Linked DNA regions of Drosophila melanogaster. The protein of the gene in region 1 purifies or fractionates together with the protein of each later gene. This does not show direct contact. Each region holds a gene or a part of one and is shown in the gene's direction. Other genes may lie near its edges. The genes, in order: sima, Cand1, ldbr and Sf3b2.

Region 1 (4,944 bases):
CTGTTGTTATTGTTGTTGTTGTTGTTGTTTCATGTCTGGCCACGACGACCTACTTTTTGCGCAATCGAACTAAAAATGTGACGATCCGGGGAGGATGGAAACGCCCGAGGGGGTGTTATGGTGCTACTACATATATATTGTATATGTAGGGAGAAAGAGAAAGATGGATGGCATTGTATTCAAGTATTAGGCTCGTGGAGTTATTGTTGATCTTCTCCTTCTTCTCCTTACATGCTTACACTCTTGCTTGCTACTGGAGCACTGAAAAAAATAACTGGTAATCAAATTTCAAATAGTAAAATCCGAAGTTCAGTCGCTCTCTTAGAAAAAGATAAATTAGTCTTACTGTACCATATTCAATATATTTGTCTATTAATTTTCTTTCTCTGTATGAAATTGAACTTGATGCAGCGAGAGAGACGTATATAAGCGGAGTGAGGGAGACAGCGTGAAGGTAGCGCAGCTTCCGAATCTTTTTCGTTTGTTCAGTTGCGTGTGAGGTCTATATGCATCGCATTCGGTGTAAGTTATGATTCGGCAATTGCTGGCAGGGAAAGTTTAAATTTATATTTAAGGCGATAAATTGGAATCAGTCGCTGAAAATTCCCCACAGGTTTTGTGAAATGAGCAAAAATTTCGGATTAAGATTATTGCGAAACCTGTTTGGAAGTCATTTTTTTGCTAACAACATTAACAAGAACAAAGGAACTTCTTTCTTGGGAATGGATAAGATCTTTACGATGTTCTGTTGTAAACAGCTATTCCTTTGGATTAAGTATTAACCACTGGTCTTGCCACAACTCAATGAACTTCTTACGACATCTTTCGAATTAATTGGTCGTCGTCGGGTGTTACTGTAGCAACCTAAAGGATTGACAGACCTTCTATAAGATAGTCCTTGAATGATGCAAGATGAGACCATAGCTAACGATCACAAGGACTCCTGGCAATCTGCAAAAAGAGAAGCCCAAGAAGCTCACAATGTTAATAACTACTTTTACTGTTTTTTTATATGAAATACATTTAAACATCGAAATAGTTTAGTGATAGACGGGTGTAGCATAAACAGGTAAACAAGGGGTTATCGTAGTGATTTAAGTTGACCCTGCCTGTTCCTTTGCCTTCTCCACGAGCTGATTACATTGCGATTTGATTACGTTTGCTTGGTCTGGGGAACTAGCTTCCCTTATCTCGTTTCACTTTCCGTGCTGTTTGCCAAACTAATCCAAATATTTAACTCCTATGTTATAGTTCTTATCGGCCGACTAGGGAAATCATGGATAAGTCTGATAGTATTTAGTCATCCAAGCAGCTTTTCTCGCACAGTGAAAAAGATCAATTCTCTAATATTTCTTCTCATTTTGTGTGTGCGAATTTTGGTTAGTTTTCGAAATACCTAAAAATGGTTCATCAGTTCTGCGGTTAAATACTCAAAATTTTGGAATATTATATCAAATTTTCACTTCGAAGTGAGTGGCACTGTTTTCTCGGTGCAGAGATTCTAAAATTATAACATGACTTTGCCGTGCACTGCACTTTGTGAGCGAGGGAAATGGGCGGAAAATGGGTCCTGGACGTGCGGAAATTTTCCGGCGTCGCTGCAAAGTAGACTATATGGTCCGAGCCAATTATCGACTGAAGTGGGGCGCACTGACATAATTTATATGGCTCTAATTTGAATCCGCCACTCACTCGATTCGCTGTTATCGTCCCATTGGGCAGAACCGAAGCGCTGGCTCCCTGCCACCTGAATGCTTCTACGAGGCGGGCGGACCGGACTTTATCTTATCACTCCGGCCGGAGCGCACTTGTCCGGATAGGCAAACTTGTCTGATAGCACACGGAATATGACGTTCACGTCGGCTCTCCGCTCTTTTGCGATTTTTTTTGGTGCGGCTGCCCAGGTATAAATATGATGGCTTCGAGGCTATGGAACCTTTCGCTCATTTAGCGCTCGAACTCCCGTACGTCGTGTTCTACCAAAATATCCGGAGCAGTGAAGTTGTGGCCAAATCAAAACACTATCAGCTCTTATCGCACGCGTGTGTGTGTTCATCATCGATGGGCTTAGCCGGATTCCAGCGCACTCAATGTTTAATTCCTTCGAGAGCTGCGATTTTTCGTGTACCGGCGACATTTCGTTCTACGGCGAAGATGTGATCCCCGGTTCTAGTTTCTACGAGTGCGATTCCAAGCCGCAGCGGCAGCGGCAGCTGAGCAGAAATGGCCCAGCTTTTGGGCCAATGCCCATCAATGAACCCACTGTGAACTTTGGCAACGGGTCATTCTACAATGGCCCTGCTCCCGGAAGCCAACCCTTCGTGGGCGCTATGCTCGGCCCCAATATGTCCTCCACTGGGATGCAAAGGTACCATCCGTACCATCAGCAGCAGCCCCAGGACGCCTTCTATCGCCAGAGGGGATCGCTTCTGAACGTGGCCACGCCCTGTCGCGAAAGCCGCCCCTGGAGCTACGCCTACTGCTATGGCTACGCGCCCACGAACACTCAACCTTGCCAGTTCTCCCAGTTTGTCGACATCGAGGATTTCATGTGAGTGACGACCAAAGTGGTTGGTCAATTTGTTGTTTTGGGTAATTCTGTGATTTTGCGTTTTTCACGAAGGGTATTCCTTAATCTCATTATCAAATAGTATTCAAGTACGAATATTTACACAATTTTGCTTAATAATTGTTGTTACATAACTGTGGAGAGCTCTAGCTCATTCAAGTAAACAAAACAAAAACCAGTTAGAATCGGTGGCCGAATGCCGCTAGCGATTTACATTTTCCTGGAGGCACCTGAACGAGCTGAGCTCCTAGAAAATTGGCCGTGTTCCATTGTAAAACCCGAGCCGAAAGCAAACGGCGCTGCACTTATCTATGCTTATTTGTGAATCGCTTTTATAATAATATTTAGATACGCAGCAAAAGATAGGGCGAGGGGGACGGAACTATGGCGCGAGAGAGGTGTCGTATGAGTCAAGGTTCGGTGGGTTATTCCCAAGAGAGGTACCGTTTATAAGATTGTGGGCTGGAAAAGACTTTTTCTCTCACTTCGATTGTTGCGTGGAAATAGTAAATTGCTTGTCAGTTGTGCTGTTGTGTAATTGTTATCTGCCGCCGATGATTTTATGTGGGGTATTTCCCAAGGAGTTATCGTTAGGGGTCTGCTGAAGGTTTCACAATCCATCTGGTTGATGTATACGATTATCTGGCGATTGACGCAGATTACAGCCCCTTTCCCTGGACTTCACCTCCTTGAAAACTTTGCATGCAACGTGCGCAGCAAGCAAATGTTTTCGTAATGGTAGTCGGATTTGGTTTATTTACGTTTTGCACACGTTTAAGCCAAATTCGGCTGGCCCATCTCCATGCTAATGAGCCGAAACCAAACTGACGCAATTGCAGGACGGCGCTGCCCGAAGAACTCCACCCACAATATGGTGCTCCCAAGAAGAGACCAAACATCCCTGACCCGCTGTTGCGCCTCGATTTACTGTCCCATGAACTTGGCATTAGCACTTCGAGTCGTATTTTATGTGTTTTCGCTGATATCTCGCCCGGAGATACGGCGCACTTGGAGGTAGCTTGGCCAACATTTCGCAATGCTCGCAATTCAAACTCAAACAACAGCGGGTCAGTATCCTAAGGTGTTGTCGGATAAGCCAGCAGGACTTAGATGGCCACGTGCGGCGATCGTGGTGTTTGCATATTCAAACTCATTTCATACACAAAGTGCGGAAAATGGTATCTTAAGATCAGCATACTACATCATTATAATCATCATACGGAAGGGTAGTACACATATTAAGGTGTGCTTTCAATATTATAGCTTAATTTTGTTCAGTGTTTTGAGCTGCTTTGGAGCGGAAATACTTAGCAACAACAACAGCAGCAGCACCAGCGGCAATAACAAGGCAATTCTGCTGGCGCAGGCAGAATATTTAACATGCCGTACTTGCCTCTGTTCTAATGAACAGACAATGGGGCCGATCGAAAATATATATATGTATGTGCATACCTCCCAAACCAAAACCCCACCCCCCCGGCGAATATCCCACCATTTAAGCAGGCCATTAGCATGCAATTCAAAGTCACTCTCCGCCGCTTTCTATGGGCCACGAGCTAGCAACTATCGGATTTGTGTTTATTAATGCATATATAATATATATAGAAATCCACGGGTCTACGCCTATATTAGTATTCACTTTGCTGGCGAAGTAATATAATACTATATAATAATTATTTGAGCAGCCATTCGAGTTTCGCTTCAAACTTTGGTTTCCATCCATCAGTTGGTTGATTGACAATGAAAAGCCCTCTTATCTAAACTGGTTTCTGTTTTATTTATTTTTGATTTATTTGAATGCATTGTTTCTTCACTTTCACAGAGTTTCCTAATCAACGTTTTATCTGGGCGTTCAGAATACTCTTTTAATAATAGAAATTCTTTCGAGTGCAAAGTCAAGTTTAGCATTTGTTTATGTTAAGATTTCCTCTGTTTACAATCGATCGATTAGTGGGGTCCTATCTCATATTTAAATATGTCATAATAGAAGATTATGTTCAACAACTAAGTAGTTTGCTTCGATTTATTCAATTTATTTACTTACAGTAAAAGAAAACGGGAATACTGTTTTTAATAGATACTTAAGCCATTATTAGACAGGCGGCAGACTGACAATAGATCATATTGTACTGTGACTTTGTCGGCTGATATGATGGACTTTTGATGATTGCGACTCCTCCGTTGACAGGCGGTACTTAGGGTTTGTTAACAAAAAAGTTTGATATTTTCGCGTTGTTACCGGGCAGATTTTCCCAAGTGAACCACCTGACGTGTTCAGGTCTTTTTTCATCCCAGCGGATCAATAAAGCAGCGTTGGCAAATTTTGAACAAAATGCCAGGAAATAAATGTACATACGTGCTGAAATGGGCGTCAC
Region 2 (6,871 bases), on another chromosome or scaffold:
GACGAGAAACCTTTCTGCAGCAATGTAAAAAAAACTGGATACATTACTGTGCCGCAGTGTTGCCAACTGTTGGCCACCAGAAAAAAGCCAGACGTCATTTAGCGGGAAAAGGCTAACAAGATGCAAACAAAAGCTAGCTAGCTGGGAAAATATTTTGGTTTACTGAACAAAAATGTTTAATTCCCAAATAAATATAAACTTTTCATATTAGGCAAACACAGAGGAAACCCTAAAAATAGATTAGAATTATTCCACCAAATATCAAATTCAATATAAACGGAGTGAATATACTTAAGCCCCGCGAATGCTGATAAATATCAAGAGACAAAAGGTGGAAGCAATAAACTCTGTTTACATTCACAACTGAACTCCAAAGCTCCATAAATTAATCTCCCAGTTAGTTTTTATAGTTGCTTTAATTCAAAATCACTTCCAAACGAGGTACATCGTACACATATAATTGCCTGTTGGAGGCTTAATGTCGGTTCTTAAACTACTAAATATATTGTAGCGTAAAAAAAATATTTTTCACAAATGTGATTCGAGACAACAAACTTGGATAGCTAATGGTATAACAGTTTCTCTTAGCATAACATTAATAAATAATTAATTAGTAGTACAAAGATACCTAGCTAAAAAATATTAAACTACAATTAATCATAGAACTTTTAAACAAGGATCTAAAATAGAACATCAATGCCTTCCAAGTTAGGCAATGGGGGATATAAATTTAATAAGTATTCAGGCTCTGCAGGCTCCATGTTTTCTGTGTTGTATATGTATGGCAGGTCAGTAAAATCTAGGGGCGGAAGGCATCTGTTTTCCAAATTATTTTCCAATGTGCGCAGATCAAGATAAAGTTGATCCAATAGTCCTTCATAGCCCTCTTGATTTTCCGACCAGGTCTCTGTGACCGCTGTAATAATACAACTTATAGTACAATTTTCAAGGGGAGTTGTTTAATATGAGCGGTACTTACGCTTGCTGCAGTTCTTCAAACATTTCTCGTTCGGAAAGTCAGTGTAGTTGAACAAATTGACGACTCTGTATTCGCAATTCAATACGTAGGCGCCCAAAAAGCAGCTATTTGTTTTATACCTAACTTCCTCGCGATCCCTGCTGACCACATTTTGTTTGGGGGCCTTTCGCAGCGAAAGCTTGGCAATACTACCCTCGAGTTTCAGAGAAGTGCTTTTGAACGGGGTTATTCCAGGAGTTTGGTGCATCACATTGTCAAGGTTACCAAGAGGTTTCTTCAATACGGAATTTGTAGGAACTCCATTTTTAATGGGATTCGCTGGCACTGCAATGATAAATGGCTATGTAATTACTAACACGAACGGGAGTCGAACCTAATTCAACTTACAATTAATGCCGGTGTTTTCCTTGTTTAAAATCTGATCCATTTTGTTAGCATTTATTGGTGTTAAAAAGGTATTTTGATTGAATTCTAGCAGTGAGCTGCGGTTTAGTTTAAAATAATTCCTGAAAACGAGCGGCACTTTTCTAGAGATGGGAGACTCTTAGTGCCACATAGCTGATATATCGTTCATCTGAAACGATGGTAATGACACAAAGTATTTTACTAGTAAATAAATTGGGAATTAATATTTGATAATATATATATTTATATTTTGATTGTCATGTATTAACTCAAAAATAAAATAACCTAAATATAAAAATTTACTAGTACATAAAATCTTGTTCCAAAATATTTCTCCACCGTATTTTATACCACGAAAATGTACCAAAACCATTATCGGCATCCAAAAGGCATTAGGGATTATAAAGTGGGTTTTTTAGTTTTTCAAAGTGGGCCCACTTAAGCAGCCTTTATAACAAAATTGAGTGAATATAAAACTTGGAGATTCAATACCGGAAAAATTTCAGTAAATTTTCAAGTTTTAGAACACCAAAAATAGGGCAGCCCAATACAAATACACAATATTTCACTTATCAGTTAATTGCTATCGATCGAACGTTTCAAAGCCTTCGCTATGGCGTCACATCAGTACCACCAAATTGCCAATTTGCTGGAAAAAGTATGTATAGAATTTCATTTTTGCAACATAACGAAATTCTAATTCCGCTCTCTCGTCTGCTGCAGATGACGTCGACGGACAAGGACTTCCGTTTCATGGCGACAAACGATCTGATGACGGAGCTACAGAAGGATAGCATCATCCTGGACGACGAGTCCGAGAAAAAGGTGGTGCGAATGGTGCTCAAGCTGCTGGAAGACAAGAACGGCGAAGTTCAGAACCTGGCTGTCAAGTGCCTGGGTCCCCTGGTCAACAAGGTGAAGGAGATCCAGGTGGAGACCATCGTGGACTCGCTGTGCGCCAACATGATGTCCAACACGGAGCAGCTGCGCGACATATCGAGTATTGGCCTAAAGACAGTGATTGCCGAGCTGCCGCAGTCCTCAAACTCCCTGGCCCCAAATGTCTGTCAAAGGATCACCGGCAAACTGAGCACAGCAATTGAGAAGGTGCGTTATATTGCTATTCCCTAGGCACCCAAACGTTTAATCCGTTGTTCCTTAATAGGAGGACGTCTCTGTGAAACTGGAGTCGCTGGACATTCTGGCCGATCTGCTCTCTCGCTTCGGGGAGTTCCTCGTTCCCTTCCACAGCACCATTCTGAAAGCTCTGATGCCCCAGTTGGCCTCATCGCGCCAGGCTGTTCGCAAGCGTACCATCGTGGCCCTGTCATTTCTGCTGATCCAGGCCAATAGCAACGCCTACAACGGTGTCATCGATCATCTGCTCGATGGCCTAGAGAACCCACCAAATCCAGCTGCCATTCGAACTTACATTCAGTGCCTGGCTTCGATATGGTAAGTTCCAATTCCTGAAATTGTTATATATTTTATGCCATATGATCTTTAGATGCAATTTTATTTAACTTTACTCTTTAGTCGACAGGCTGGCCATCGACTTTGCAATCACATTGATCGCTCCATGCTCCTGCTGAGCCAGTACAGCCAGCGGGATGACGATGAGCTGCGCGAGTTTTGTCTGCAGGCCTGCGAAGCTTTCGTCATGCGCTGCCCAGATGCCATAAACCCGCATATTCCCATGGTAAGGAGTACACATGCTTTATGTTCTCATTCACGTTTAATAGCTTATGGGTTTTGTTAGATCCTGGAGCTGTGCCTCAACTATATCACCTACGATCCAAACTACAACTACGAGACGGATGATGGCGACACTGGCAATGCCATGGACACGGAGGATGATGAGTACGTCGATAGTGAGGAGTACAGTGACGACGACGACATGAGCTGGAAGGTTCGTCGCGCTGCAGCCAAGTGTCTGGAGGTCTTGATATCCACACGGCAGGAGCTCGTCGAGGACTTCTATCGCAGCCTGAGTCCGGCTTTGATTGCGCGCTTCAAGGAGCGTGAGGAGAATGTTAAGTCCGACATATTTCACGCCTATGTGGCCCTGCTAAAGAACACACGCCTCACCGACGACGTGGCCAACGACCACGACTCAATGGATCAGGTATCGGGTCCGACCTCGCTGTTAATTGAGCAGCTGCCACTCATTGTGAAAGCCATACAGCCGTTAATGAGGGAAAAATCGATGAAAACGCGTCAAGACTGCTTCCTCTTGCTGCGCGAGCTGTTGAATTCGCTACCAGGTGCCCTGGGACCCTACTTGGACAGCATTGTGCCAGGCATAAGCTATTCGCTGAATGACAAAAGCTCTACCAGCAACATGAAGATCGAATCTCTGGGATTCCTTTACTCGCTGCTCCAAGGACATCCGCCGCATGTCTTTCATCCACATATTCCCCTACTGGTGCCCCTCGTAGTGACTTCGGTCTTCGATCCTTTCTATAAGATTGCCACCGAGGCGCTTTTGGTGCTGCAGCAGTTGGTAAAGGTGATTCGTCCATTAGAACCGAATGCGGCCAAGTCCGACTTTGATGCCCCATCGTTTGTGGGTCAGGTTTACTCGTGCACATTGCAGAAACTGAAAGTGACGGATGTCGACCAGGAGGTAAAGGAGCGAGCCATAGCCTGCATGGGGCAGATTATCGCCAACATGGGCGACATGCTGCAGAATGAGCTGGCGGTTTGCCTGCCAATCTTCATGGAGCGCCTAAAGAACGAAGTAACCCGTTTGAGCAGCGTGAAGGCGTTGACCCTGATCGCAGCTTCGTCCCTGCGCATAGATCTGACACCCATCCTGCACGACGTGTTGCCCGCATTGGGCACATTCCTGCGTAAGAACCACCGCGCCCTCAAGCTGCACTCCCTCGATCTGATCAACAAGATCGTCATCAACTATTCGAGCAACTTCGAGGCGAACCTTCTGCAGACAGCCATAGTTGAGATCCCACCGCTTATATCGGATTCGGATTTGCACGTAGCCCAGTACTCTCTGACGCTTTTGAGCACCGTAGCTCGCAGGCAGCCCCAAGCTCTGGTCGGCATACATGAGCAGTTCTTGCGCTCCGTGCTCATTTTGGTTCGATCTCCTTTGCTGCAGGTGGGTGAATTTTAATTAACAGCTGAGTAATTAGCAAAACTAATAACTGATTTCTTTGCTACAGGGATCCGCATTGAATTGCACGTTGGAGCTGTTCCAGGCCTTGGTGCAAACACAGCTGTCTGGCCTGGACTATCATTCGCTCGTTTCGAAGCTAATGGCACCAGTTCTGGGTGGCAACGGTGACGTCAAATCCAGAGCCACTGCCGGCGCTCCCAGTGAGGTGGTGCAGCTGCACAAGCAGGCCTATCACTCATCGGCCAAGTGCATTGCTGCCTTAACACAGCAGTGTCCCCAGGTGGCGACCCCATTGGCCACAAAGCTGATAACGGATCTGCAGAAGCGTAACGATACGGAAATCATATTCTGTTTGCTCACCATCGGTGAGATTGGCAGGCACTTTGATCTGAGCTCCATACAGGTGCTGCCGCAGACAATTATTGAATGCTTTGGGGCCACCTCGGAGGATGTAAAGGCTGCAGCCTCGCATGCTCTCGGCGCTGTGTCCGTGGGCAGCCTGCAGACATACCTGCCTCTGATTCTGCACGAGATTGAGGTGCAGCCGAAGAGACAGTATTTGCTGCTACATTCGCTTAAGGAGGTCATTTCATCGCTATCGGTATCGCCCAGCGGACTCGCCCAGCTCCTACCCTCGGTGCCATCCATTTGGGATCAGCTCTTCAAGCATTGCGAGTGTTCGGAGGAGGGATCACGCAACGTGGTGGCCGAGTGCCTGGGCAAACTGGTGCTGGTCAATCCCGACGAGCTGCTGCCGCAACTGCAGCAGGCATTGCGTTCCGAAAGCGCCACCATGCGCACCGTTGTTGTCTCCTCAGTAAAGTTTACCATCTCCGATCAGCCGCAGCCCATTGATGTTCTGCTCAAGCAGAACATTGGCGAGTTTCTATTTGCCCTGCGAGATCCGGAGCCCCAAGTGAGACGCGTCGCACTAGTAGCCTTCAATTCGGCGGTACACAACAAGCCCAGTTTGGTGCGCGATTTGCTGCCCACCCTTTTGCCTTGGCTCTACTCGGAGACGAAGGTGAAGAGCGAACTGATTAGGGAGGTGGAGATGGGTCCCTTCAAGCACACCGTCGACGACGGTCTCGACATTCGCAAAGCGGCATTTGAATGCATGTACACACTTCTCGAGCAGGGCTTGGATCGTGTGGATGTCATGCAGTTCCTGGACCATGTCCAGGCTGGTCTGTGCGACCACTACGACATCAAGATGCTGACGTACCTGATGACGGCACGTCTGGCCATCTTGTGCCCGGATAAGGTTCTGCTAAGTGAGTAGTACCAAAGCCTTGATTACTTGAGATCTCTTATTCACTTTGCTCAATTCTTTCAGGACTCGATCAATTTATACAGCAACTACGTGATACGTGCACCCACAAGGTGAAGGCCAACTCTGTGAAACAGGAGTACGAAAAGCAGGACGAACTCAAGCGTTCTGCCCTTCGTGCAGTCTCGGCCCTTTCGCAAATACCCAAAGCAAGTAAGTAAAAATATTGAAGAACATTGTATCTGAAAATAAACTAATTGAAATTCCTCTTCAATAGACAAAAATCAGCAGTTAGTGGATTTCCTCAAGTCGATCAAAGAAACACCGGAATTAAACAAGATCTTCGAGTACATACAGAAGGATTCCATCACCGGTAGCTCAGATATTATAGTAATGGATCAGAGTTAAAAGGGAAACTTGGTTTCAAATTCCTTTACTTAATTAAGAATATGCGTTTGCGCACAAACAAGTATCTCTTTTTCTGATATAGCTTTTAAATTTTCTAATAAGAAATAAATGCAGATCGACTTGAAAGAGTTAATTAGTAAACAGTAAACCACTCCCAAAAACTACCGACAACCAAAAACAAACAAATGCCGTATTGAGTACTGTGTTTATGAATTTTACTAAAAGTTTATTGATTGGTTTAGCATTTTAACGAGGGAGAATGATGGATGATAGGATCCATTTGCTCTTCCTGAAAGAGACTAGCTCTTCAATCAGATAACGATAATTCCAGTTCATCCTCTCTTAACTAAGAGCAACTGATTACGTAAAGGCTTTTAAACATTAATGATGCAATATTAATAATGCTCAATCATGAGAAAGTCGACATGGTGTATTTGGAAAGTGTATATTCTGTGGAAAACTGAATTATTCAAATTGTTTCGAACTTATGATTGAATTTTGGTCTATAGGAAGGTGGAAATTTAGGCTGCCTGCTTGCTTCTCTTCTTCTCGCACTCCTCGGGCACGGCTTTGCCGGAGGTGACGCCGCCGTCCGACGCGGGTCCCGTTTCGGAAACAGTCTCTGGAGGATGTTCAAGCACGTGGTCAATGATGCCCAGCACTTTTGCCTCCT
Region 3 (4,037 bases), on another chromosome or scaffold:
TGCAAGTGGTAATCGCGGCACTCTACTATAATCCCCAGTTGCTGCTGTCCATTCTGGACAAAATGTCCCAGCAAAACAACGACTCTATCAGCGCGCACTTTATCAAGCAGTGGCTTCACGACACGGACTGTTTCCTAGGGTAAGAATGGACATGCTTTTTAATGATCTAGATAGTTTATTGTTACGTTTTCCAGCATCCACGATCGCAAACTTTGCGTCCTGGGTCTGTGCACCCTCATCTCGCTGGGCGAAGCCAAGCCCCAGGTTCTGAGCGAAGTGGCTGGAAAGATTGTGCCCGCACTTATTTTGCTTTTCGATGGTCTAAAACGCGCCTACGAGTCTCGTGCTCAGGAGGAAGAGGAAGATGAGGAGGAGGAGGACGGTGACGACTGTGAGGAGGCTCTGTCCAGTGACGAGGATGACATGGACGAAATGGCACCGGACTATCTGGATAAATTGGCCGAATTTGCCAAAACCAAGGGCAATGAGTCGGGCTTCGAAGTGAAAGCCGAAATCAAGGACGACGATGCTGACTCGGACGGTGACGCCGAGGAGTCTGTGGGTGATCTGAACGAGACTGGACTGGAGTCGTTTACCACGCCCATCGACGATGAGGAGAACGAAAGCGCCATCGATGAGTACTGGACGTTTAAGGAAGTTATTACTGGTAAGTTGTGCTGAATTTTGTACACCATTGGAAAACTAACTAATAACCTAATCTTCGCCATCAGCACTTTCTGCACAAGACCAAGCCTGGTATGCGCTGTTGACCTCCAACCTCACACCTGAGCAAGCCAAGGCGCTGCAAGAGGTGGTGGTGACGGCTGACCAACGCAAAGCCGCCAAGGAATCGAAGCTGATCGAGAAGCAAGGTGGCTTCGCCTTTCCGCAGACTGCCGTGCCCACGTCGTTTAAGTTCGGCTCCTAAGAAACTGAATTGACCAGATCACCAGACACTTGGTTCGATTTCTGACTTGATTGTTTCTCATATTCTTTCCAAAAATAACAAAAACATCAAACAAAATACATCTGGCATGCTGATGATGGCTTTGAAGGCATTCTCTTGGTTTTCGTACACTCCGTGTACCCATGTATGCTGCGACAATCGGTCGATTAATCAGATTAAAAAATCGATCGGTCGAGCGGCGACGAGACCGCACTATATTTATTGTAGATTTATATTTTATTTCCTATTTTGTGGCCAGGGCGGCCAACTAAATTATGATAACTTAAGTCCATTGTAAATCTTTGTATGTAAACGAAACGAAACGAAACGAAAAACAAACACGTCAGGACGAGAAGGTCTCATTAAATGAGATTGTGCCCACCAGCACGCCCCCGTAGAACTCCAAAAAAAAGTTGGCATCTAGGTCAGAGAATGAGAATTCAACGCAGAGCATTTCACATACATTTTCTTTATACACACATACACGTATATTCTGTACTAAATGAAGCGATATTTTTGAAAAATAAAAAAAAAAAATTTTTAACGTTTGAACTGGAGAAATCTTTTTCTTATTTGTGTACCTTTTTGTGAGGTATTTAAACCGTTCAGGGAACGAATTTTATAAGTACATCTAATATATATAATTATATTTAATAATGCTAAGTGCTGAAAGACTTTGTTTCCGGAAGATTTCAGCAGTTTAAATATTGGCGGTCATTAAGTAGAGTTATCGATAAGAGCGTCCATCCTGTCGTTCCCCAAAGACGTTTTCTCACACTGAATTGCCGATCGATAAGCGATATCAGAACGCGTTATTTGTTTGGACAACCGGTTGCATTTGTTTACAACCAAGTTTTATTTATAAAGTAGTAACTTACCTTTATTAACCATGAAAATAGCTGTCGAAGGATGTGCACATGGCGAGCTGGAACGAATATACGACACCATAGAGGGCATCGAAAAGGTTGGCGGCACCAAGATCGACTTGTTATTGTGCTGTGGCGATTTTCAGTCCACCCGGAATCTGGAGGATTTGCAGACGATGGCTGTACCAAAGAAGTACCTGGATATGTGCTCCTTTTACAAGTGAGTAGAGTTTCGACAGCTTGTGGATCAGGAGGTAATCCATTTATTTTTAAAGATACTACAGTGGCGAGCTGGTAGCACCAGTGCTGACCATATTCATTGGCGGCAACCATGAGGCCTCCAATTACCTGCAGGAGCTCCCATACGGCGGTTGGGTGGCTCCAAATATTTACTACCTTGGTTATGCCGGCGTCGTCAATGTAAACGGTGTTCGGATAGCTGGAATAAGCGGAATCTTCAAGGGTCACGACTTTTTGCGCGGCCATCACGAATTCCCTCCGTATACCGATTCCACGTGTCGCAGTGTCTACCATGTGCGGCAGCTAGAAGTCTTTCGGCTGAAACAAATTTCCGGGCGAGTTGATATTTTCCTGTCCCACGACTGGCCCACCGGCATCTATGAATACGGAAACAAGGCGCAACTGCTCCGCAAGAAACCATTTTTTGCTGCAGACATGGAAAGCGGGAAGCTGGGTAGCCAGCCACTGGAGGAGTTACTGAAAGCGGTCCAACCGGCCTACTGGTTTGCTGCCCATTTGCATTGCAAGTTTGCCGCTTTGGTGCCGCACAATCACAGCCAGAAGCTAGGAGATGCTGAATCTTCCTCTTCCAGCAGCAGCAGTGAAGATGAAGACGAGGAAAGGGAGAAGGTAAAGAAAGCTGCTCCTGTACCTCCACCATCCAAATCTGTTCCCGTGACCAAGTTTCTGGCTCTCGACAAATGCCTGCCACGTCGTGCTTTCCTGCAAGTGGTAGAGGTACCCAGTGACCCCATCGAAGGCACTCCCCGCCTGGAATACGACGCAGAGTGGCTAGCCATCTTGCACAGTACAAATCACTTGATTTCAGTGAAGGAGAATTATTATTACCTGCCCGGAAAAAAGGCGGGAGAGTTTACAGAGCGATCAAACTTTACCCCCACTGAAGAAGAACTAGAAGCAGTGACCGCAAAGTTTCAGAAACTTCAAGTCCCCGAGAACTTTGAGCGCACAGTGCCAGCTTTCGATCCCGCGGAGCAGTCTGATTATAAGCACATGTTTGTGGATCAACCCAAGGTTCAACTAAACCCCCAGAGCAATACGTTCTGTGCCACTCTGGGTATAGACGATCCGCTGTGCTTAGTTTTGTTGGCGAATGGCCTAGATCTGCCTGCGGTGGGAGCTACCGAATGCAAGGATAGGGAAACAAAAAGTTCTAAGCTGCAGGCGGTGGAAGAAGACGTGGCTGAACCATTGGTTACGCCAACTAAAAGGAAACTTAACTTATCCCTGCCAGCACCTACAACTGCAGCAGCTGATACCACCGATGAAAACGTGATAGACCTGCCCGAGGAGGAAGCTGAAGAAGCAATTATAGCAACGGAAACGCCTCATGTAGAGGAACCTGCATCAGTGCCCGCTAGTCCCAATGTGAAAAAACTTAAGCGACGCAATCAGAACATTTACCAAGCGCAAGAAGATTAAACCCAAACAAATTCCGTGAAAGCGGAGCGATTTATACAAAAAAAGGAGGCAATTTTATTTAAATAACACAGAAGATACTTGGCTGATACGATCAGCCAACGGTTGATTATGGGCAAATAAATAGGAGGGTGTTAGCTGCTGGGAAGCGAGATAACGACTCACTGTGTCCCGCTGGCATTATCGGCATAGACCTCGTCGGCGCACTGAAAAGCGGCCTGCATCACCGATTCGGGCGTGTCCACAACATCGCAATAGTATGTATCCGGTGATGGGATGCAGTGCAGCTGCACCTGGCTGCCCTCTGCCGTGGCGCGATAGAAGCGACACTGTCGCGGTCCATATGTTGGCATATCCGCATCGTATGGCGGACTAAGAATGTCGAAGAAAGCGGCTACGCCGCTACCAATTTGGGCAATCTGGTGGTAATTTCTCTTTCTAGGAGTCAATGTGGCACACGGACTAGCCGGCGTGACCAATTTGGGTTCCTCGACATTCACCTTCACCACTGTTTGATGGGGGTCATAGGTGAGCGGCTCATCCGG
Region 4 (5,132 bases), on another chromosome or scaffold:
CTCAGCCACGTACTCGCAGCAGCAGAGACTCCCGTTCTCCTTACTCTTGGACTCCTCAGCCTCTGATCTCCAGGCTGCAGAAAGAAAATTGGAGGTGCCGGCTGTCATCAAGAACATCGATTTGGACAGGAAATGGCGCGGCGAACGTTTTTTAATGAGTTCCGAGCAGCGTGTACGGAAACAGTTTAGATTAGATTAGTGCACGCCCTACTGGCCGAGTGGAGAAATGTTTCAAAAGTAATTATCAGATCCGGGTGGGTCCATTTTAATTGTTTTATTGGAGTACAACGAATTTGCTTACAATTTCTCCGGAATAACGACAACTACAACAACACAGCTGACGAACGTCCCTCCCTTACAGGGTGCCCCGTGTAAAGTGGGCTGCCAACTTGTTTTATGCTACCGCTATGTTTTGAACTTAGATCTCTTATCATTATTACAAAGTTTAAGAATTGTGTTATAAATAATTCCAAAATATATTTTATTTAAATTTCAATTGCAAGATTCCTCTTTTTAAGTTTTCGTCTGCCTGCCAAACACTCTCACTTTGGAAAACATTTCCCAGCCTAATGTTCTCTGAAAACTGTTCCAGGCCGCCACCAACTCCAAAATAATGAGATTTTGCGGCAACCAAAATGACTCCATCGGATTTTAAGCGACCAGCAAAGGTATCCAAGAGCTTTTGCTGATTTGCAATATTGTATATAGTCTCAGAGGTAAGTATTAGATCGTATTTCGCCACATCCCTTGATAGTTCAGCAAAATGAGACCAATCTCCAGAATATAAGGTTGTACTGTTGTCTAAAAATTTCAGCTTTTCATCTTCAGATAAAGAGTCGTCCAAATTTAGCAGGATATTTGGATATGTTATGTATTCCAGCACATCTTTGTTCTGAAAATATATGATTGCAACCAAACTATTTCAAGACTTATTGTTTGCTTACGTAGTCCTGAAAATCCACCCGTGCGCCGTGTTTCATAGCATATATACCCAGCAATCCGCAGCCACATCCCAAATCTAGGACTCTTTTCTCCTTCCAGAATGAGTCCTCGTACTTTTCGGATAGATATAGTAGAAGATCTTCAGTGCATTCCCATATTTTAGCACCGCCCTCGTAGACACCGGAAATCAGATCTGAATGATTTTCCTCAGACTTCCTGAGATCCAGGTTTACCAAGTGGGATTGCTCCTTTAAATCCTCCAGCAGAAACCCGGCCACAAGATGTTTTATCGTCATCTTTCCCACCTCCATTTCCTTGGCGTTAAGCTCATAGAAATCCATTGCCGAAATTAGGTTATCCAGTGGTTGTACTTTCTCCGAATTGTACCAATCTATATCCTTTGTGATACCCGACTCACGTTCTTCTGAATTTTCCTGCTTGCTAAAAATATCATTTTTAACGGCCTCTGGATCTTCCGAGGATTCCGCCTTCACATCAAAATTAAATTTGAACATGCTTAGAAGGTAGGGTGTTGAACTGTTTTGATTTTAGCAGATACTGCTTGTTAAATATCGTACTGAAATGGACAAATTAGCATTGTTAAACTGGTAATCTATGAAATATTTTAATATTTACCTCCTTAAATCAGCTGTCGGCAAAAACCACGCTTTTCGTACTAAGATCGCCCTGTCCTTTGCGTTGCCAGCTTGATTTAGGGTCTCGCATTTTCATATCGAATATATCGATATGTCTCGGTGGTACAAAAATATCTTGTCGCGCATCACTAGAATTGTGGTTTATAAAAAAATTTCGGCTCGGTTTGGGTTTTTAAAGATTAATTTAATTTATGGCGGACCAGTTGAACAACGAGGTGAGTTTGCTGCGAAACCCAATCGGCAAGACATCTATTGAATGCCAATCCTTCCAGCCCGGCCAACCCACGCCGCTCATGTCCATTCGCTTCGACCAGCAGCAGCACGAAAGTGCGGCGGCCAATGGAAATGAGAACGGCAATGGTAATGCCAATGGCGACGGCGATGCCTCCGAAGATGCTGTTGATGCCGAAAAAACGCCCGGAGAACTGGTCCTGCCCAAGGCCTTGGAGGACGTTCTGGCTTTGAAGGATCAAAGGGCAGCCGAGTTCACGGTGGACGCCGATTCGCAGGGTGGCAGTGGGGGTGCTACCCAGGACGGCGACGAAGCGGATGTGGGCGAGGACAGCGAGGAGGATGCGGATAACCAGGTGAACGGGAGTGCCAGCCAAAAGACCGGCAAGCAGAGCAAGGCGGAGCGTAACAAAAAGAAGAAGAAGCGAAAGAAGCAGAACAGGAAGATACGCCACCAGATTGAGTTCGCACGGCAGCAGCAGTTGGCCCAAGCGGAGGAGAACGAACCGGAGGCCAAGGACTCGGAGACAAAAGCCCATGGCAGCGAGGACGAACAGGTTGCCGAAAAGGAAAAGAAGGACAAACGCAAAGAGAGTCGCAGCAAGCGCAGGAAGGATCGTAGTGATGAGAAAGATACGGACAAAAAGGCTGGCGAGGCCAATGATGAAAATGTGACCATTGAGTAAGTCATAGCAGCTCGTTCCGAGGAACCACACTAATAAACTCTTATCCCTTTCAGATATGTGCCCGAAAAGATAACCATTGCCGATTTGGCGCCAATGTACCGCCAGTTTTATCGTGTGTTCGAAATCTTCAAGCTGGAAAACAAACCAAAGCCTGTGGAGAAGGACAAATCTTCGCACGATTCTGAGTCCCATCCCAGGGACAAAAAGGCTACAGACAAACAGCTCGAGGACGAGGACGATGACGGCGATGATGACGAAGAGCGCAAGGAAGACAAGGAGAAGCTGTCCAAGCGGAAACTTAAGAAACTGACCCGTTTGAGTGTGGCAGAACTGAAACAACTGGTCTCTCGACCTGACGTAGTGGAGATGCACGATGTCACAGCGAGAGATCCCAAACTACTGGTTCAACTGAAAGCCTATAGGAACACAGTACAAGTGCCGCGGCATTGGTGCTTCAAGCGAAAATATCTGCAGGGCAAAAGGGGTATTGAGAAGCCTCCGTTCGATCTCCCCGCCTTCATCAAAAAGACGGGCATCATGGAGATGCGCGAATCGTTGCAGGAACGAGAGGACGCCAAGACACTCAAGGCCAAGATGCGTGAACGCGTCCGTCCCAAGATGGGCAAAATTGACATTGACTACCAGAAACTTCACGATGCCTTCTTCAAGTGGCAGACCAAGCCCCGCATGACCATTCATGGCGACCTCTACTACGAGGGCAAGGAGTTTGAGACACGCCTTAAGGAAAAGAAGCCCGGAGATCTCTCCGAGGAGTTGCGCATTGCTCTGGGAATGCCCGTGGGACCCAACTCACACAAGATTCCGCCACCATGGCTCATTGCTCAACAGCGCTACGGGCCGCCGCCCTCGTATCCGAATCTTAAAATTCCTGGCCTGAATGCTCCGATCCCAGACGGAACCTCGTTCGGTTATCATGCCGGAGGTTGGGGCAAGCCGCCAGTGGATGAGAACGGAAAACCGCTGTACGGTGACGTATTTGGAACCAACATATTGGACCTTGATGTGAGTGGCAACATTCGCGTAGCACTTCTTGTTTTAATGTCATTGTTTTTTTATAGAATGGCGTAGACGAAGCTGACATTGAACGTAACCAATGGGGCGAACTGGAATCGGAGTCAGAAGAATCATCCGAGGAGGAAGAGGAAGATGGCGAGGACTTGGGCGATCAGCAGGATGAGACTGGCCTGGTAACGCCAGTAGAGGGACTAGTAACACCCTCTGGACTCACCAGTGTTCCAGCTGGCATGGAAACCCCCGAGAACATTGAGCTTCGCAAGAAGAAAATTGAAGCCGAGATGGAGGAGTAAGTGAACTAATATTTTTAAAATAACATCACGATTAAGCCCATTATTCCAACTTCTCCTAGCAACGAAACTCCTGTTCTGTATCAAGTGCTGCCTGAGAAGCGCACCGACCGCATAGGGGCTTCCATGATGGGATCAACCCATGTCTACGACGTCAGTGGCAGTGGGGCTAACAAACAGCCCCCAGTTCGATCAACCACAGATCGCGAGGGCATTGTGGAACTGGCTCTCGATCCTAGCGAATTGGACTTGGACAATGACGCAATGGCCCAGCGTTATGAGCAACAAATGCGTGAGCAGCAGAATCACCTGCAAAAGGAGGATCTGTCAGACATGTTGGCCGAACATGTGGCGCGGCAGAAATCGAAGCGCAAGCGACAGCAAACGGATCCGGCCAAGACCACAAAGAAGTACAAGGAGTTCAAGTTTTAGTTTGACAACAAGAAATACAACTTTTCCATTTGTGCGATTGTCAAGGATGTCATTAAACATAGTAAAAACTACAATAAGTTCGCGTCATTCAATTTAAATGCGAGGATTTAAAATAGGTTCTGCAAAAAGTGAAGTTAACACAAAAGATCTTATCTTGTAATTTCTATCGTAATTTGTTTATTTTGATGCAGAATCAAAATCATTTGCGTATAACTTAAAATTTGACTCGTTAGGTTTAATTCTCATTTATACATTGAAACTTATTGAGACTAAGAAATTACAATTGTGGTTCGCTGTGTGGTTTGTGCTGGGACCAGGACAGTATCTAAACCAAACGAAGCAGAGTGCAGTGGAAGGCAAGGACTGAAAAGAGAACTTGTCCAGCAACTGAGTCCAGGGCTAGCTACCTCTCCCGATCCTCCTTAAGCTAGAGCTAGAGAGTGCCACACGATGTCGATGTCGGCTTTGACTCAACGCCTGTCAGCTGGTCACTCGTCGAGCTGCTCGCTGAGTTGGGCTAGAAGAGCCGCTCGCTTCGATTCCAGCTCGCCGTCACTTAACGTCAGCTCCTCGTTTCGCGATCCAGACGACTCGACGGACTGGGCAGGACTAAGGGGCGTGCCGGATCGATTGTGCCTGTTGTGTCGCTTGTCCTTCTTAGCTCGCTTCTCCTTCTTCTTTTTCTTTGCGGGTGAGTGCGAGTTTGAGTCGTTCTGAAGTAGAGCTTGAGTTCCCGGCGATTGAATGCCTGGAACATCCGATTCGCAGGAGGACTGAAATGTAAGCCATGTTAGATAGTATAGTTGTCCAAGGACTGGGCCGACTTGCTACGTACACCTCGCAGTTTGTTCTTGCGCTTC

The links.
Region 2: the proteins of sima (region 1) and Cand1 purify together in Drosophila melanogaster (affinity purification with mass spectrometry, with the first as the bait; one large-scale study listed by BioGRID). This does not show direct contact.
Region 3: the proteins of sima (region 1) and ldbr purify together in Drosophila melanogaster (affinity purification with mass spectrometry, with the first as the bait; one large-scale study listed by BioGRID). This does not show direct contact.
Region 4: the proteins of sima (region 1) and Sf3b2 purify together in Drosophila melanogaster (affinity purification with mass spectrometry, with the first as the bait; one large-scale study listed by BioGRID). This does not show direct contact.

What each region holds. Positions count from the first base shown.
Region 1 is NT_033777.3:30,060,988-30,065,931, forward strand, and holds the start of sima (uncharacterized protein), read left to right. Parts: upstream 1-1,934; 5' UTR 1,935-2,090; coding exon 2,091-2,551; intron 2,552-4,944. UniProt on the Drosophila melanogaster protein: Functions as a transcriptional regulator of the adaptive response to hypoxia. Binds to core DNA sequence 5'-[AG]CGTG-3' within the hypoxia response element (HRE) of target gene promoters.
Region 2 is NT_033779.5:10,357,634-10,364,504, reverse strand, and holds Cand1 (Cullin-associated and neddylation-dissociated 1), read left to right. Parts: upstream 1-1,797; 5' UTR 1,798-1,997; coding exon 1,998-2,042; intron 2,043-2,107; coding exon 2,108-2,491; intron 2,492-2,549; coding exon 2,550-2,839; intron 2,840-2,920; coding exon 2,921-3,083; intron 3,084-3,143; coding exon 3,144-4,502; intron 4,503-4,566; coding exon 4,567-5,794; intron 5,795-5,856; coding exon 5,857-6,003; intron 6,004-6,067; coding exon 6,068-6,198; 3' UTR 6,199-6,371; downstream 6,372-6,871. Other genes in the region: pim (pimples), read right to left, coding at 681-916, 980-1,303, 1,367-1,406; ClpP (caseinolytic protease proteolytic subunit), read right to left, coding at 6,720-6,871. UniProt on the Drosophila melanogaster protein: Key assembly factor of SCF (SKP1-CUL1-F-box protein) E3 ubiquitin ligase complexes that promotes the exchange of the substrate-recognition F-box subunit in SCF complexes, thereby playing a key role in the cellular repertoire of SCF complexes.
Region 3 is NT_037436.4:8,120,084-8,124,120, forward strand, and holds ldbr (lariat debranching enzyme), read left to right. Parts: upstream 1-1,743; 5' UTR 1,744-1,835; coding exon 1,836-2,032; intron 2,033-2,087; coding exon 2,088-3,495; 3' UTR 3,496-3,532; downstream 3,533-4,037. Other genes in the region: msk (moleskin), read left to right, coding at 1-139, 195-667, 732-928; CG7550 (uncharacterized protein), read right to left, coding at 3,654-4,037. UniProt on the Drosophila melanogaster protein: Cleaves the 2'-5' phosphodiester linkage at the branch point of lariat intron pre-mRNAs after splicing and converts them into linear molecules that are subsequently degraded. It thereby facilitates ribonucleotide turnover.
Region 4 is NT_033779.5:3,025,745-3,030,876, reverse strand, and holds Sf3b2 (splicing factor 3b subunit 2), read left to right. Parts: upstream 1-1,708; 5' UTR 1,709-1,789; coding exon 1,790-1,813; intron 1,814-1,870; coding exon 1,871-2,511; intron 2,512-2,568; coding exon 2,569-3,538; intron 3,539-3,594; coding exon 3,595-3,839; intron 3,840-3,902; coding exon 3,903-4,272; 3' UTR 4,273-4,625; downstream 4,626-5,132. Other genes in the region: GABPI (beta4GalNAcTB pilot), read right to left, coding at 1-117; CG17219 (uncharacterized protein), read right to left, coding at 482-892, 945-1,457; Prp40 (pre-mRNA processing factor 40), read right to left, coding at 4,761-5,045, 5,108-5,132.